4 linked regions of the Saccharomyces cerevisiae S288C genome follow. The gene in region 1 interacts genetically with each later gene. Each region holds a gene or a part of one and is shown in the gene's direction. Other genes may lie near its edges.

Region 1 (4,426 bases):
AATTCAAATATTAGGTTAGTTCCATCCTGTATGATATAAGGCGACTCCACTTCGCAGTGGTGCAAGTTCCACATCGGATATAGCTCTTTTTTGGAAGCATCTGAATCTTCCACTTTATTCTGCTCGTGATAATTACGGAGAAATTGGTTCCACGTATCATCCATCTCTTGAGGTAGGACAAAATTTTTCTTTACTTCGTTGGATTGCTGAAAAACTTTGGGAATTCTTTCTCTATCAAAGATAAGTGGGAAAAATGACTTGCTGTTGTTTTCATTGTATGTCTTCCCGAACTTCACAGCAGCCTCGATATTCTCATAAAACGACAAGAACGATGCATATTTGATTCTCAGATCTGCCATAACCTCTACCGGCTGAAAGAATTGCGATAAATAGGGTTGATATTGATCTCGGTATCGCATTTCATCCTCTTGTGAGACATTTGTTATGATTCTTTGTTTGAAAAGTTCCATGAGGCTGTCTTTGTAAACAGGTAATATATCCTTAATAAATGAGGAATTTTGATCACTTTGTAAGATCGTCTTTCTGAAAATTGATCTTTCGAAAAAATTAGGAAATGTGGGAAGGTTAACGAACTTCAGTCTCAATATAGGAAGATTTTCGTTGAGATACTTTATTTTCATATCTCTGGGTAGGTCTTTTTTAGTTGTTTTTATCTTTCTGACGATGATGAATAAATGTGACTCAAAATATTTGACATACTGTTCTATGGCTTTGCTGGTACTTCCAAGTAAATTACATAAATGGTACTCGATGGAATCGGAGTATATTTTGAGGTGATCTACATTAGCTAGCTGAACTACCTCATCAAATAGCCTTTCAGTATCATGATTGGATCCATATGCTGCCTTTAACTTTTCTGAAACGGCATCATCACAGAATTCCTTGAATTTTGACAGCATATTTTTTGCTTCAAAAGCATTTCTAAACATCAATAAGCTAAAGTGTGTCTCAGTTTTGAAATATCTCTCTTTTTCTTCATCATAAGTGTCCTTCCCAATTTCTATGTATTCGCTAATAGACTTCTTGTTCAACAGTAGATGGCTTATAAATAGGTCATTTGCATCGCTGACCCATTCAGGGGAAAATAAAGATGCTAATAATGCATTCCTCGTCAATAGTACCTTAAAATTCTTGAAAGTTTCCAGCCTCGGCCTTAAATTTGATTCCTCACAGTAATATTGTCTGAGAGTTTTCATATAAAAATCTTTGGGGCTCAAGCCCTCTATACTAAAATTGCAGTTAGACATTATACGGAGCATAGGAACTTCCTTCTCTAACATTGTATTCGTTATTGGAAACATATGAATATAGTGATGAATAGTAGCGCTTACAAGGGTGGAAAATTCCCTTCCAAAATGTGACTTCATACATTCGAAAAGTTTGGAATCATAATACTGAAATATCGTTAAGGTCTCAAATCCTAGTTCTTTTCTTATCATGGGATAATTTACCGGCACATACGATATAATAGGACCAACGGCACCCATTACGTACTGAAATAGCTTGTAAAAAGAGGTCCAATTTTTGGGTATAATTTCATAAGAATAGTCGCATCTGGTCAAAAAGCTAAGGACGTGCGCGTCAATTATTAACTTTGCCAATTCATCACAAAATTCTTGAAAACTCAGCACAATTTGGTGTTGATGTAGCAGCTGAAACTTCTTTTGCTTTTCGTCATTCCCATTAAATTCTGAGTTGTAAGGAATGTATGATTTCCTTTGCGTTAATTCACGGCAATTGTTCAACATCTTAGGCATTAGCTTTCTAAATTTAGCGGCCTTTTCTTTATTACACTCCAATTCTTTCACGTCAGTTTCAGTTATAGTTTCAGCTAAAGTAAGGTGAAAAAACTCGTGCAGCTCAGCAATCATCGTTCGATACCTGGGATTTCGCTCATCGTTAAATTTATTGTATAGTCCTAAAGCGTTGCTTGCACTCGTCTCTCTGCTTATAGACTCGTGGAATCCTTCTCTCTTGGAAACGCTCTCATTTATCATTGTTCCTGTGAACCCGTACGAGAATTTATACCAGTAAAAAAGATTGGTGGGTTTAATATCTTGAGGATTCCTTCAAAGTAGTCTTTTAGTGCAAAGATATCGATGATCTTCATTCGCATTGTTCATATTCATCATTACGCAAAGGATAGCTATGCGTTCCGCTTCGTCATACTTAATCAGGAATATTGAACATCCAAAAATCTCCGAGCTCACGTATGTAGAATTTTTGATGAATACAAAAGAAGAAAACACTAGACTTTTCTTTGATGTTTACATTATGTCTATGATGCTAAGTAATTGGGCACTCTCCCCTCGATATGTGGGACAGCGAAACCTCATACATTGCACCACTTTATTTCACACACTTACACGATGGGCAAAAGACGCAGACGATAAATATCATGATATAAACTCAATGTATGAAAACATGTTTACACCTTCAAATGATAACGTTTCAATTTTGCAGGATGAAGGTAAATCTGATTATGATACGACGAAGGCCAGCTCTATGGAAGAAGATATCAGTGCTTTTAATAAAGACTTGTACAATTTCTATAATATTGGATATGCCAAACAGATCATGTCTGCTTCACAATTGGAAAATATAGTAAAGGCAAAGGGCAGATTTGTTATACAAAGTTTATCCACCAGTCCTTATTATAATTTGGCCCTTGAAAACTATGTTTTCAAGAATACACCAAGAGCCAAAAGAGGTCCCGATAATTGCAGACTGTTATTTTACATCAATGATAGGTGCGCCGTTATAGGCAAAAACCAAAATCTGTGGCAGGAAGTAGATCTTGCTAAGCTGAAGAGTAAGAATTTCGAACTACTTAGAAGATTTTCTGGAGGTGGCACTGTACTGCATGATTTGGGCAATGTTAATTATTCATATTTAACATCAAGGGAGAAATTCGAAACAAAGTTTTTCAACAAAATGATAATTAAGTGGTTAAATTCATTGAATCCCGAACTAAGACTAGATTTGAATGAGAGAGGAGATATTATTCAGGACGGGTTTAAAATTAGTGGCAGTGCTTATAAAATTGCCGGTGGCAAAGCATACCATCATGCAACGATGTTGCTTAATGCGGATTTAGAACAGTTTAGCGGCTTATTAGAACCCTCACTACCGAACAATATGGAATGGGAGTCAAGTGGAGTTCATAGTGTAAAATCAAAAATCAAAAATGTTGGTATAATTACTCCTAATCAGTTCATTGCAGTGGTATCCGAGCGTTTTCAGAAAACATTCAAAGTTGACGGCGAAATACCTATATATTACTGTGACGAGTTTAAATCTATAAACGATGAGATTAAAGATGCTATGAACACCTTACAGAGCGAACAATGGAAATATTTCTCGGGGCCTAAATTTTCAGTGAAGATTAAAGATAAAGGCTTAACAATTAAAGTCGAAAAGGGCATGATTTATGATTGTGATAGAAATGATTTAATCGGCTTGGAATTCAAAGGATTTTTGGAGAATATTGACAGTTACACATAACGTTGATGAATATTTCAATTCACTTGTAAATAACGTAGGTAAATATCAAAATTAAAGTCTTTCACCGGAAACTGATTCAGCATATTTCAGCAGACGCGTCCTAGATTCACAGCAAACTTCAATATAAGCGATACATTAGGAGTGTTCGTACTTTAGATCTATAAGAACTATATTTTGTTACGATTCAGCCGTCTCTAAATGTGAACTAAATATTTATACTGTTATTTGAGAAACCGACAGATAGTACTTAATTTTATCGATCATCTAAGAATAGCATCGGTATTGTGGTGACATTTATTGAATTTCTTCCGCTCCAGAATAAAGTTCCTTTTCACTTCAAAAAACTGCCACCAGTAAAGTTGCACCAGTGGTTTTTGAGCATTTTTTGTCAATGTCGCTTAACCGTTCTTGAACTGTATCCTCTTGACGTCGATAAAATCATTTGTAAAAACCAGGCCAAATCATCATTGAATAATTTACACTGTGTCTTCAATGTCGCCATTTGGACCAATAATTATCAAACTGTTCACAATTCACTCAAAGTCCTTTCAGCAACATTCTTATGAAACAATACTTTCTTTGAATTTGTATGATGAAACAAAATTTTTTGGTTATTAATCATTTATCACTCTCGGTAGCCAAGTTGGTTTAAGGCGCAAGACTGTAATTTACCACTACGAAATCTTGAGATCGGGCGTTCGACTCGCCCCCGGGAGATTTTTTTAATGTGCTCTAAATAGAATGTGGATGAAATTTCTCTTGGCCGCCGTACCCTTCTTCATAATTAATAATTTCTTTCCATTTTGCAGGATTATATCTGATCAATAAGTGATTGTAAAGATTTTGTTTGTGAGAAATATGTGAATTTTTAATTTTGGTTATAACTTAATAATTGTTGGAA
Region 2 (4,173 bases), on another chromosome or scaffold:
CTGTTCGTGAGCATTACCTGGTACCTTTCTTTTATAATACCTCATACGTTCTCTAAAATTCTTTTCCATCTCCGACTTTATGTTGTTAAACTCTTCTGACTGTTCTCTTTGAAGGCAAACGTTTTCAACATGTTCACTATTTTCAAGATCCAGCCATTTTTTAGGTACCGCTACACAATTTGGAACTACGACAGGATGGTCATCTTTGGGAAATCCTATCTTTATAGAATTTGATCCAGGATGTATCACGATAGTTGCTGTTGGATCATTTAGATCTATCTCGTCATTAAGTGGTGCTGCACTCGCTTCTGAGTGGGGCAAACTCTTTAAATCTATAACATCTGGTGTGTTGGTACTAGATATTTGGCTAGTGTTGTTATTTCTCAAAAATTTTCTATCTCTAAGTGCAAATATTTGATCGTCTTTTTTCAGATAATCTGATGAGTAGTTTTTTTGGTTGATTAACATTAAAGGTTGGAACAGGCCAGTGGCAGGTAAAGTAGTTGTCTCCACTTTCTCAATGCCAATTTTTTTCAACGTCTTGGCAAATTCTTCAGCAGCTTTAATACGTCCTAGTCTCCTCTTCTCCAAAAGATGTAGCGGGACTTTCTTCCCGGGAGGTGCTTTTGCGGGATCTAGCTTCGGATATTTCTTATAACGTTTACTAGTCTGCACAGCAGGTGGTGCCCTCTTATCTCTAGAGCTCCCTAATTCATTTTCATTTTCGTTGGCATTATCATTATCATTTTCGTCCTCATTGTCAACATCATTGTCGTCTTCGTCTTCATCTTCGTCTTCCCCTTCTTCATCTTCATCTTCTTCGTCTGCAACGTCTCTTGGGTCAACAGAAAGACCTGTTACACTTCTGGGTGTCTCAGATCCAACTACGTTATCGACACTATCGTCTGACTCATTCTCCGCATTTTCTTGATCCGCCTGGCTGCTTAAAGGTACGCTATTTTCTTCTTCCAGTTCATCCTCATCGTCATCATCCTCTAACGGAATATCAATGGGTTCCTCATAAATAATACTGGATTCTGCTTCTTCTTGCGACATGTTAGGTGCGATTGTATCCCTGTATTTATGTACTATTGACTAGTAATTTACCTGAAAGTGTTTGCTACTTCGTGGGCGTTCATCATCTCCATTTATTCATATTGCCATTCTCAAATAAGTCATCTTGCACGGCCCAACCAGCGGCTGGATAACGGATCTACCCCAACCTCGGACCCAAAGTTGCTGCTATAAAAACAGAAACAAAAAAGGCGTTTCTCGAGACTGATATCCAGATGGTAATAGAGCCCTTAAGTGCTTTGCAATTGTCAATTAAGTATCCTTGTTCGAGAGTTGTTCACAGCACACTGCGTATATATAGGCTTACCACAGTTGGATTTAATCAAGCGATATAAAAGCTGGAAGGAGACAAGTTTCCCCTAATTGTTGTTCTGTTTGTTACTTACCACTCTATATACGTTCGATTTCATAGAAAATTTCTTTTGCAGACCATTTATTCTTCAGTTTGATAATGTTAAGATCTACCGTTTCAAAAGCTTCTCTCAAAATTTGTCGTCACTTTCACAGAGAATCTATTCCTTACGATAAGACGATCAAAAATTTGCTGCTTCCCAAGGACACCAAGGTGATCTTTCAGGGGTTCACAGGTAAACAAGGTACTTTTCATGCCAGCATCTCTCAAGAATATGGTACAAATGTTGTGGGTGGTACGAACCCAAAAAAGGCGGGTCAAACACATTTAGGCCAACCTGTCTTTGCCTCTGTGAAGGACGCGATTAAGGAGACTGGAGCCACTGCCAGTGCCATCTTTGTTCCTCCACCGATCGCAGCTGCTGCCATTAAAGAATCTATTGAAGCTGAAATTCCGTTAGCTGTATGTATCACTGAAGGTATTCCTCAACATGACATGTTATACATTGCAGAAATGTTGCAGACACAAGATAAAACAAGATTAGTTGGGCCCAACTGCCCTGGTATCATTAACCCAGCAACAAAGGTAAGAATTGGTATCCAGCCCCCAAAAATTTTTCAAGCTGGTAAAATCGGTATTATTTCCAGATCGGGAACTTTGACATACGAAGCTGTTCAGCAAACTACAAAAACTGACCTTGGTCAATCACTGGTTATTGGTATGGGTGGTGATGCTTTTCCCGGTACTGATTTTATTGACGCCTTGAAATTATTTCTAGAAGATGAAACTACAGAAGGTATTATTATGTTAGGTGAAATAGGTGGTAAGGCCGAAATCGAAGCTGCTCAATTTCTCAAAGAATACAACTTTAGCAGGAGTAAGCCGATGCCGGTGGCATCTTTCATCGCAGGAACTGTTGCTGGTCAAATGAAAGGTGTTAGAATGGGTCACTCCGGTGCAATTGTAGAAGGATCTGGAACTGATGCAGAATCCAAAAAACAAGCTTTGAGAGATGTTGGTGTTGCCGTCGTTGAATCTCCAGGTTACTTAGGTCAAGCTTTACTGGATCAATTTGCCAAATTTAAATGATTATATTAGGAAGAGAATGAACTGCTTTCAAAAGAGGAAGACTTCTATGTCTCGATTATTGCTTAGACAAGTATGGAGCTGACATCCGTTTTCTTTTCAGAGCTTTTACTCAACATTCTATGTTAATTTTTCCCTTTGTATATATTCATTTATCCTTATAAATTCTACTAAAAATCTTTTAATAGTGTTTGTATTTAATGTTCTTCTTAACAAGGGTATACATAAAGGTTGATTAAAGCTTAATAATTGAAATGGAAAAAAAAATAACAAAACGTCTGAATTTCCTAGTCTGTTTTGCAAAAACAGATGCGCAAGCCGGGAATCGAACCCGGGCCTCATGCTTGGGAAGCATAAATTCTAACCACTGAACCACTTGCGCGTTTCAATCAATTTGGGAAGACTCAGCACGTTATATACTATTAATGAAAAATTTCCTTCTTAGTAATGACACTGATAAATAGGTAAGTGTTGGAATTAAAATCAACTATCGTCTAACAACTAGTAGTCACACTACCAATATATTATCATACACGGTGTTAGACGATGACATAAGATATGAGAAACTGTCATCGAAGTTAGACGAAGCTGAAATGCAAGGATTGATAACGTAATAGGATAATAAAACATATAGAACAGAAGGAGAAATAATCATAGTATTATTATGTAGAAATATAGATTCCTTTTTGAGGACTCCTATATCCTCGAGGAGAACTACACATAATATTATATATAACCTTTGCCAAAAAAAGGAATGCCAAAAATTATCAAACTATTTGTTGGAATAAAAATCCACTATCGTCTATCAACTAATAGTTATATTATCAATATATTATCATATACGGTGTTAAGATGATGACATAAGTTATGAGAAGCTGTCATCGAAGTTAGAGGAAGCTGAAGTGCAAGGATTGATAATGTAATAGGATAATGAAACATATAAAACGGAATGAGGAATAATCGTAATATTAGTATGTAGAAATATAGATTCCATTTTGAGGATTCCTATATCCTCGAGGAGAACTTCTAGTATATTCTGTATACCTAATATTATAGCCTTTATCAACAATGGAATCCCAACAATTATCTAATTACCCACATATATCTCATGGTAGCGCCTGTGCTTCGGTTACTTCTAAGGAAGTCCACACAAATCAAGATCCGTTAGACGTTTCAGCTTCCAAAATTCAAGAATATGATAAGGCTTCCACTAAGGCTAACTCTCAACAGACAACAACACCTGCTTCATCAGCTGTTCCAGAGAACCCCCATCATGCCTCTCCTCAACCTGCTTCAGTACCACCTCCACAGAATGGGCCGTACCCACAGCAGTGCATGATGACCCAAAACCAAGCCAATCCATCTGGTTGGTCATTTTACGGACACCCATCTATGATTCCGTATACACCTTATCAAATGTCGCCTATGTACTTTCCACCTGGGCCACAATCACAGTTTCCGCAGTATCCATCATCAGTTGGAACGCCTCTGAGCACTCCATCACCTGAGTCAGGTAATACATTTACTGATTCATCCTCAGCGGACTCTGATATGACATCCACTAAAAAATATGTCAGACCACCACCAATGTTAACCTCACCTAATGACTTTCCAAATTGGGTTAAAACATACATCAAATTTTTACAAAACTCGAATCTCGG
Region 3 (4,391 bases), on another chromosome or scaffold:
GTGCTGTCAAGTCCAACTATTCATTAAATCCAAGGGATGAACAAAGTATTGTGGTAAGGGTTTACGAATCTCTTGGCGGGGAATCTTTTGCTTCACTAAATACCACACTAAATTTGAAGCGTATTGAGAAGGTCGATAACTTGGAGATGAAAGTTTATAAGAGTTTGACAGCAACGCGAGACGAATCAAATCATGCAATAAACAGAATTCCCATTAAATTGAGACCTTTTGAGATTGCCTCATTCAGGTTGTATTTCTGAGTTTGTCTCCCTCACTGTTTTTTACATTCACTCACTCCCAAACTTATGCCATTTCTATCATGATAACCAAAAATAGTCTTAACAAAATACATATAAGTAAATAATGCTAAATAAAAAAGCAAAAAAATAAAATTTATATCACACTTGTAAAACCTTTAAATGATCTTCTTTTTTACCTGTTTTATTCACTTGTTTTTTTTTTTCTGAGTTGTTGCGCCTTGGAAGAATGGAAAAGCAATAGTTTCAGTGACTATAGTATACAATCAAAACACCCGCCAGTTCAAAACTATTACTTGGTCACTAACCCCCAAGTCATCTCTAGCAATTTAAATTTCAATTTTAAGAAAACCTTTATTTATCCAACGTGAACAAGTACTTTCAAGCACTTCTGCCCACCGCTATATCGTGGAAAAATGTGTCAAGCTACCAATGGCCCGAGTAGAGTTGTGACTAAAAAGCATAGGAAATTTTTCGAAAGACATCTACAGTTGCTTCCCTCTTCACATCAGGGACATGACGTGAACAGAATGGCGATAATATTCTACTCAATCTCAGGACTCTCTATATTTGATGTTAACGTTTCTGCGAAGTACGGCGATCATCTTGGCTGGATGCGCAAACATTATATCAAAACAGTGCTGGATGATACAGAAAATACTGTGATATCTGGATTTGTTGGAAGCTTAGTCATGAATATCCCTCACGCAACAACGATTAATCTACCAAATACTCTCTTTGCATTGTTGTCCATGATTATGCTGAGAGATTACGAGTATTTTGAGACTATACTAGACAAAAGAAGCCTGGCGAGATTTGTTTCTAAGTGCCAACGACCTGACCGTGGCTCGTTTGTATCTTGTTTAGACTATAAGACAAATTGTGGATCTTCGGTTGATTCAGACGATTTAAGGTTTTGCTACATCGCAGTTGCCATTCTGTACATATGCGGATGCCGATCCAAAGAAGACTTTGATGAATACATTGATACTGAGAAGTTGCTTGGCTATATAATGTCGCAACAATGCTACAACGGAGCTTTCGGTGCCCACAATGAACCACACTCAGGGTACACATCTTGTGCGCTGTCTACCTTAGCTTTACTCTCTAGTTTGGAAAAGCTATCAGACAAGTTTAAAGAAGACACCATAACCTGGCTATTACATAGGCAAGTATCAAGCCATGGATGTATGAAATTTGAAAGCGAATTGAATGCCAGCTATGATCAATCTGATGATGGCGGTTTCCAGGGAAGGGAGAACAAGTTCGCTGATACGTGTTACGCATTTTGGTGCTTAAATTCACTACACTTACTAACAAAGGATTGGAAAATGCTATGCCAAACTGAACTAGTCACAAATTATTTGCTTGATCGAACGCAAAAAACATTAACTGGAGGCTTTAGTAAAAATGACGAAGAAGATGCTGATTTATATCACAGCTGTCTAGGGAGCGCTGCGTTAGCATTAATTGAGGGGAAATTTAATGGAGAATTATGCATACCTCAAGAAATATTTAATGATTTTAGTAAAAGGTGCTGTTTTTGAAGTTCAAACAGTAATAAGAGTCTATCGATTACATAAATGTGAGCAAGCGAAAAAAAAAAATTGGCATTATAAACCATCATTTTCGATGAAATAATCAATCAACGTAGATAAGCTGATATTATATAATTTTGGTCTGTTCGTGTTGATTTTATCACTGATGGACTTTGGCATACAGATAGTGACAATTTCGTTATTGAACCATTGAGAATGGAAAATCAATGGAACTTCATCCAGAGTTATGCACATAGAAGCTCCCTCAGCCGGAAAAAAGCTGATAGCGCCAAAATCTATTAGTGACAAGTCTGTGTTAAGGCCAGTTCCAGTAAATTTTGTATACGACTCCTTCAAGGACCATAAGTAAGTAAATATTGTGCATGGATCAGACGCTTTCAGTAAACCGTTAAATTCTCTTTCACTAAAAACTTCTTTAAATAGCTCCAACTCTTCCCTCCCGCCATAATTGCACGGAGAAGCGATATCAATTCCGACATCCTGGTATTCATCTGTACTTACACATTTTACGAGGAACATAGCTACATATTGTTCACCGATGGTCATGCTAAATGGAAGAAAACGATTGTTGTCTAAGAATGGCTTACCGAAGCTGCCCTTGTCAAATTTCAGCTCTTGAAAATTTAAGCCCGTTACTATAGAGCAGCCAAACAACTGCAGCAGCTGGCTGCATAGATTTGAACATCTATCGTGAAACGATTTTTTATTGAGGATTCTGGCTTGAGACGCCAATGGCAAAGTTCTCATTAATGCCTCGAACGTAAACTCATCCGCGAGTATATCCTCTTGAATTTCAACAACGAATATACCTGCCCATGGTCTTACACCTGCCACCTTTGAAACTTCGCTTACTACTTCAGTCGTTTTAACCATCCACGGTTTTTTTGCTGAGTGATTCTCTTTCTCCTCATTCTCATTTTAGTCATAGCGGTTTTAATAAGCGCCCGAAAGATAATTGTAAAACATATATTCAATGCTTAAAAATATAAGAAATTGCCCATCAATTTGAAAACTCAAGTAAAACAGAGAAGTTGTAAGGTGAATAAGGAATGAGTGACGTGGTCAGTAAAGATCGTAAGGCATTGTTCGACTCAGCAGTATCCTTTTTAAAGGATGAGTCCATTAAAGATGCTCCACTTTTAAAGAAAATCGAATTTTTAAAATCCAAAGGGTTAACAGAAAAGGAGATTGAAATAGCCATGAAAGAGCCCAAGAAAGACGGTATCGTAGGCGATGAAGTATCGAAAAAAATTGGTAGTACTGAGAATAGAGCCTCACAGGATATGTATCTCTATGAAGCGATGCCACCAACGCTGCCCCACAGGGATTGGAAGGACTATTTTGTGATGGCTACTGCCACAGCTGGGCTGTTGTATGGTGCATATGAAGTAACTAGAAGGTATGTGATACCAAATATTTTACCAGAAGCAAAAAGCAAGTTGGAAGGGGACAAAAAAGAAATTGATGATCAGTTCTCCAAAATCGATACAGTCCTCAATGCCATCGAAGCGGAGCAAGCTGAGTTTAGGAAAAAGGAAAGCGAAACATTAAAGGAACTTAGTGACACGATTGCTGAACTGAAACAGGCGCTTGTGCAGACAACAAGAAGCAGGGAAAAGATCGAAGACGAGTTTAGAATAGTTAAACTCGAGGTGGTCAATATGCAAAATACGATCGACAAATTTGTTTCAGATAATGACGGCATGCAAGAGTTAAATAATATCCAAAAAGAAATGGAATCTCTGAAAAGCTTAATGAATAACCGTATGGAATCCGGTAATGCGCAGGACAACAGATTATTTTCCATATCTCCTAATGGTATACCTGGCATAGATACGATTCCATCTGCGTCTGAGATTCTTGCCAAAATGGGCATGCAAGAAGAAAGTGATAAAGAAAAGGAAAACGGCAGCGATGCTAATAAAGATGACAATGCTGTTCCAGCGTGGAAAAAAGCAAGAGAACAAACTATTGATAGCAACGCCTCCATTCCAGAATGGCAAAAAAATACCGCCGCCAATGAGATCAGTGTCCCTGACTGGCAAAATGGACAGGTCGAAGACTCCATCCCATAGCGCAATTCTATGTAAGTAATTAGTTTTTTAACGGAAATTGTAATTGTAACTGTCCTAGATACTATGGACATTCAATCTGATTGTTACCCGGAACATTTGCTTTTGAAAGGCATTTTTAGTAGCACTAATATATTGGCAGCTAATTGAAACAGTAATCTACAAATATGAGTAAGCTAAACCACCTCAACAAAGCTATTCGTGGCTAGTATATGACCTTGAATTGCCATGGAAAAAGAATCAGTATACAACTTAGCACTAAAATGTGCTGAGCGGCAATTGACCTCCATGGAATTTTCGAACCTTTACAAGGAATTCTTTAATGAAAAGTTCCCGTCTTTGATTCAAGAGGAAGAAGAAGATACAACAACAACTGCAAATATAAATGAGGTCAAGAAAGCGTCCGATTTGGTGGATACACCCAGCAACAACACGGCTGCTACTGCAGATACTACACACTTACACGAGGCTCTAGATATTGTTTGCTCCGATTTTGTTAAAAT
Region 4 (4,566 bases), on another chromosome or scaffold:
ATGTTCCCACAAGAAATAGGACCCTGTAACGATGAGTTGTCAATGTTTTCTTTCTCTGAAAGTGAAAAAGGTTCCTTTGTGAATCTCCAAATGTTTTGTTTTTACCATGTTTTATAAGCCGTAATGTAAAATCAGCCACAGTCTCGCACACAGAATGTTGTGAAGGAAAGTTGTATCCCATAGTCATATATGTTGTATCTAAATAAACTTGGTCAATAGTTTCATTCGCTGTCTCGGCCAACCACTTCTGAATTGTCTCAATCATTTTGGCGTTGCTTCGAAAATCCCCCGTGTGAAGAATTTGTCTTATAGGCTTATCATACGAATTTGCCAGAAACTCCTGGAAAAGCATTATTATTGCACCGGGACAATGGTTAGCGTCCAACGTAACTACTGAAATGGTATCTGTTATCCAAAAGCGTTTATTCATGGGTAAAATTTGGATTTCATCCATTGGAATTTTGAATTTTAAATTTACTAATATTGCAGTGATCTTAGAACAGTAAAGTGTTTTCTTGATCGGATTCTCATCAGGATTGTTCCAAGATTTTTTGAGTCCAATATAGTGATCAGAATGAAAATGAGAAAGAAAGTACTGAGAGATAGTCTCGCTGGCCTTATAATTGAAACCATCCACAACTATTTCGTGGCCATTATTGAACTTAATTATCTTGAAACTTGGTAAAACAAGTTTTACTCTTGTTGGTTTTTTTGACGTAGCTATATCCCTCTTCGTTTTTGCAGGAGATGATGGATTAGAAATAAAGCTCCTGATATTCTTTTTAGGTGTTCCCATATTGCTCGGGTCACTGCCTATGCAAGTATCACAGTGTGTCTCTCTTTCGTACAATTCTAAATGAGAAAGGTTTTCTAGACAAATAGGACATTGAATAACTTCTGTAGAGACTTTAACATTTACTTGCTCCTCCAATTCCGTTACTATTCGATCTTCGGTCCTATTTTCTATTGCGCTGACTTCGTTATCATGCAAGCTAACTAGTTCTTCCTCGTCTGTGTCTATGGTGATTTCGACCTTTGCAGTGTCTTCAAGGCAAATGCTATTGTGATCGTCATCGTTAATAATTACTGGCTCTGTATTCTTATTGGATGTTGAACAACTGAACCTTGAGAATGAATATGAACTGGAACGGACAGGTAAGTTCGATGAAGTTGGGATGTTGAATTCTGTCAAAGTTCTCTGCCTTTTAGAGGATGTATGTGTGTTCTTATGAAGAGTTTTCCCCTCACTTGTACTGCTAGCGGTGCTACTTCGTTTCCGCTTTACTTCAGATCTTCTTATTTGCACTATAGATTTCCTTGACATAATCAACCGACCACCCAAATTAGTCACTAGTGCGTATGCTGCTTAACATGAGTTTTGACGCAGGTATTTGATTATGTTTATATTGCTATTTTACTAGTACTTTTTCAGTCCGTTTCCATGACAAAATCTAAAAAGCCATCGCACTAATTTATAAAGATAATAAGAGGGAAGCTTAAGGTGTAGAAGAATACATGGGACTACTAAGTATTATCAGGAAACAGAAGCTCAGGGACAAAGAAATTCGCTGTCTGATTCTAGGACTAGACAATTCGGGGAAGTCAACGATAGTAAACAAACTATTGCCCAAGGATGAGCAAAATAACGATGGTATAATGCCTACTGTGGGTTTTCAAATACATAGTCTGATGATAAAAGATGTGACAATATCTCTATGGGACATTGGGGGGCAACGCACATTAAGGCCATTTTGGGATAACTATTTTGATAAGACACAAGCGATGATATGGTGTATAGATGTGAGCCTTTCAATGCGGTTTGACGAAACCTTGCAAGAACTAAAAGAATTAATCAATAGAGACGAAAATCGAATAGGATACGAGTGTGCTGTTATCGTTGTGTTGAACAAGATTGATTTAGTGGAGGACAAGTCCGAGCTTCATCGAAGGTGTTTACTGGTAGAGAGCGAGTTGAAGTGTCTGTTCAAGCCGGACATCCGAATAGAGCTCGTCAAATGTAGTGGCGTTACCGGAGAAGGTATTGATAACCTGCGTGACCGTCTGGTGGAATCCTGCCATTTTACCCAATAATCGTCTAAGATGTGAGCACCATATAAAAACTTTAAATAATGTCAGTATTTATAGCGTGATAGTTCATTACCCGCCGACTGTGCGCATTCGTGGCTTCTGCTCACTCCGGATAATAATACTACCAAGGGGTTCTGTAAGGCTTGCGGGTTACAAAGCACGGGTCCATTGAAGATCTTACACAAGAAGGAGTGGTAGGAAGACCAGCAGATTATTTCCAATCGGTCGTTGCCATTGTCTTATTTCCTTTTCTTTCTGGCGCATTGCATTTTAACACCTTTTTTTCCAGAATAGCCAACCACCGACGTCTGATTCACACATTACTGGGCAAGATCTTGACATAGCATTACATTACAACACGGCAACACTAATCACGCAACGCTAGAACTCGCGCAGGATGAATATTCAAAGCAATAATTCTCCGAATCTCAGTAATAACATAGTGTCAAAACAGGTTTACTACGCCCATCCTCCACCTACGATAGACCCGAATGATCCGGTGCAGATATCTTTCCCTACCACCGAAGTAGTTGGGCATGGTTCGTTTGGTGTGGTATTTGCCACTGTTATTCAAGAAACTAATGAAAAAGTTGCTATTAAGAAAGTCCTGCAAGATAAACGATTCAAGAACAGAGAGCTGGAAATAATGAAAATGCTGAGTCACATAAATATAATAGATCTGAAGTACTTTTTCTATGAAAGGGACTCCCAAGATGAGATTTATTTAAATTTGATACTAGAATACATGCCACAATCTTTGTACCAGAGGTTACGTCATTTCGTCCATCAACGTACGCCGATGTCAAGATTGGAAATAAAGTACTACATGTTTCAATTGTTCAAGTCATTGAATTACCTCCATCATTTCGCGAACGTCTGTCATAGAGACATTAAGCCTCAAAATTTATTAGTAGATCCTGAGACCTGGTCCTTAAAACTGTGCGATTTCGGCAGTGCAAAGCAATTGAAACCTACTGAACCTAACGTTTCCTATATTTGTTCACGGTACTATAGAGCACCAGAGCTAATCTTCGGCGCAACAAATTATACCAACCAAATCGACATATGGTCCTCTGGCTGCGTAATGGCGGAACTGCTATTGGGCCAACCAATGTTCCCTGGAGAAAGTGGTATTGATCAACTAGTGGAAATCATTAAAATCTTAGGTACTCCATCAAAGCAAGAAATTTGCTCTATGAATCCCAATTATATGGAGCATAAGTTCCCGCAAATTAAACCAATACCATTGTCACGTGTTTTCAAGAAAGAAGATGATCAAACTGTGGAATTTCTAGCTGACGTTTTGAAATATGATCCACTAGAAAGATTTAATGCTCTACAATGCCTGTGTAGTCCATATTTTGATGAACTAAAACTTGATGACGGTAAAATAAATCAAATAACAACTGATTTAAAATTGCTAGAGTTCGATGAAAATGTCGAATTGGGCCATCTATCTCCCGATGAACTATCATCTGTAAAAAAAAAGCTATATCCGAAGTCTAAGTAATGATAGCACCGGAGGGAGCCCAGGCAAGAATAATGGGAGAAGGAAGGAACATATATACGTATGTCTTTTTTTAGTACTATTATTACTGTTATTATTATGAGTATTGTTTTTGTATTACCATCATATTCTTATCATTATTAGTAGTAACAGTATTATGTTATCATTACTGTTATAATGAATACAAATTATGAAAAAAATAAGGTAAAGCCAAAATAAATTGTAACTTTTTTATGCCATTTCACTTCGAATTATGTATAAAAGCCGTATTCTTTGCCAGTACGAAACTATTTTAATGACACCTTTACTTTAACCGGGTAACAACTTCCTTAAATGGGTCGACAAGGTTTTTAGAGTATAAAGGGGCAAGTGAAGGTTCATCATCGAGCTGATGTAGTGGGTGTTTTAGTAAACGAAGAAGCACCTTAGAACCAAATAATCTAGCTAGTATAAACCGAACCCAGAGTAGCAAACAAACCATGGGTAATGTTCCAGGGAAAATAGACCAGGAAGATAGTTTTAATGATGTCAGGCCAGATTCCTCATATAATACTACATCATCGAATTCTGTCATCAAACAATATGATGAAGAAGCCTCTTCAAGGGTGAGAACGAGACGCACGACGTCTTTGGTCAATAATATTTTAAATGGGAATAATGCTCGTACAAAAACTGGTTCTCATCTATCCAGCACTAGTAGAAGAAAGACGTCACGGGAAAAAGAGCTTGCTAAAGAGGCACATGCTAAACAATTGGTTGTGAGGTGTAGCGAAACTGTAGATGGGGGGTTTTTGGCCCCATTTGGCTGTTATTCTTTTGAAAAGTTGGACTATGATGCTACTGTCGTTAAAAATTTAATAATCAAAAGAAAGTTAGCGCCGTTTTACACTCCTTTGCAGGATTTTGATGAAAGTTGGACTAGAGATGAGTTGATAAAAATTGTTGACGGATTGCCCTTGCATGACACGTTC

Evidence for each region.
Region 2: mutations in AIM22 (region 1) and LSC1 together harm fitness more than expected from each alone (negative genetic interaction), as found in Saccharomyces cerevisiae (3 studies listed by BioGRID).
Region 3: mutations in AIM22 (region 1) and PEX14 together harm fitness more than expected from each alone (negative genetic interaction), as found in Saccharomyces cerevisiae (2 studies listed by BioGRID).
Region 4: mutations in AIM22 (region 1) and RIM11 together harm fitness more than expected from each alone (negative genetic interaction), as found in Saccharomyces cerevisiae (3 studies listed by BioGRID).

What each region holds. Positions count from the first base shown.
Region 1 is NC_001142.9:350,091-354,516, forward strand, and holds AIM22 (putative lipoate--protein ligase), read left to right. Parts: upstream 1-2,295; coding exon 2,296-3,525; downstream 3,526-4,426. Other genes in the region: cullin RTT101, read right to left, coding at 1-2,018. UniProt on the Saccharomyces cerevisiae protein: Catalyzes both the ATP-dependent activation of exogenously supplied lipoate to lipoyl-AMP and the transfer of the activated lipoyl onto the lipoyl domains of lipoate-dependent enzymes.
Region 2 is NC_001147.6:591,532-595,704, forward strand, and holds LSC1 (succinate--CoA ligase (GDP-forming) subunit alpha), read left to right. Parts: upstream 1-1,525; coding exon 1,526-2,515; downstream 2,516-4,173. Other genes in the region: ARP8 (Arp8p), read right to left, coding at 1-1,056; YOR142W-A (gag protein), read left to right, coding at 3,581-4,173. UniProt on the Saccharomyces cerevisiae protein: Succinyl-CoA synthetase functions in the citric acid cycle (TCA), coupling the hydrolysis of succinyl-CoA to the synthesis of ATP and thus represents the only step of substrate-level phosphorylation in the TCA.
Region 3 is NC_001139.9:213,408-217,798, forward strand, and holds PEX14 (Pex14p), read left to right. Parts: upstream 1-2,865; coding exon 2,866-3,891; downstream 3,892-4,391. Other genes in the region: AMS1 (alpha-mannosidase), read left to right, coding at 1-260; protein geranylgeranyltransferase type I subunit CDC43, read left to right, coding at 674-1,804; LYS5 (holo-[acyl-carrier-protein] synthase), read right to left, coding at 1,871-2,689; NUT1 (Nut1p), read left to right, coding at 4,117-4,391. UniProt on the Saccharomyces cerevisiae protein: Component of the PEX13-PEX14 docking complex, a translocon channel that specifically mediates the import of peroxisomal cargo proteins bound to PEX5 or PEX21 receptors.
Region 4 is NC_001145.3:543,640-548,205, forward strand, and holds RIM11 (serine/threonine protein kinase RIM11), read left to right. Parts: upstream 1-2,485; coding exon 2,486-3,598; downstream 3,599-4,566. Other genes in the region: DNA cross-link repair protein PSO2, read right to left, coding at 1-1,324; Arf family GTPase CIN4, read left to right, coding at 1,516-2,091; SIP5 (Sip5p), read left to right, coding at 4,075-4,566. UniProt on the Saccharomyces cerevisiae protein: Serine/threonine protein kinase that is thought to function in regulating kinetochore activity and entry into meiosis. Could phosphorylate IME1.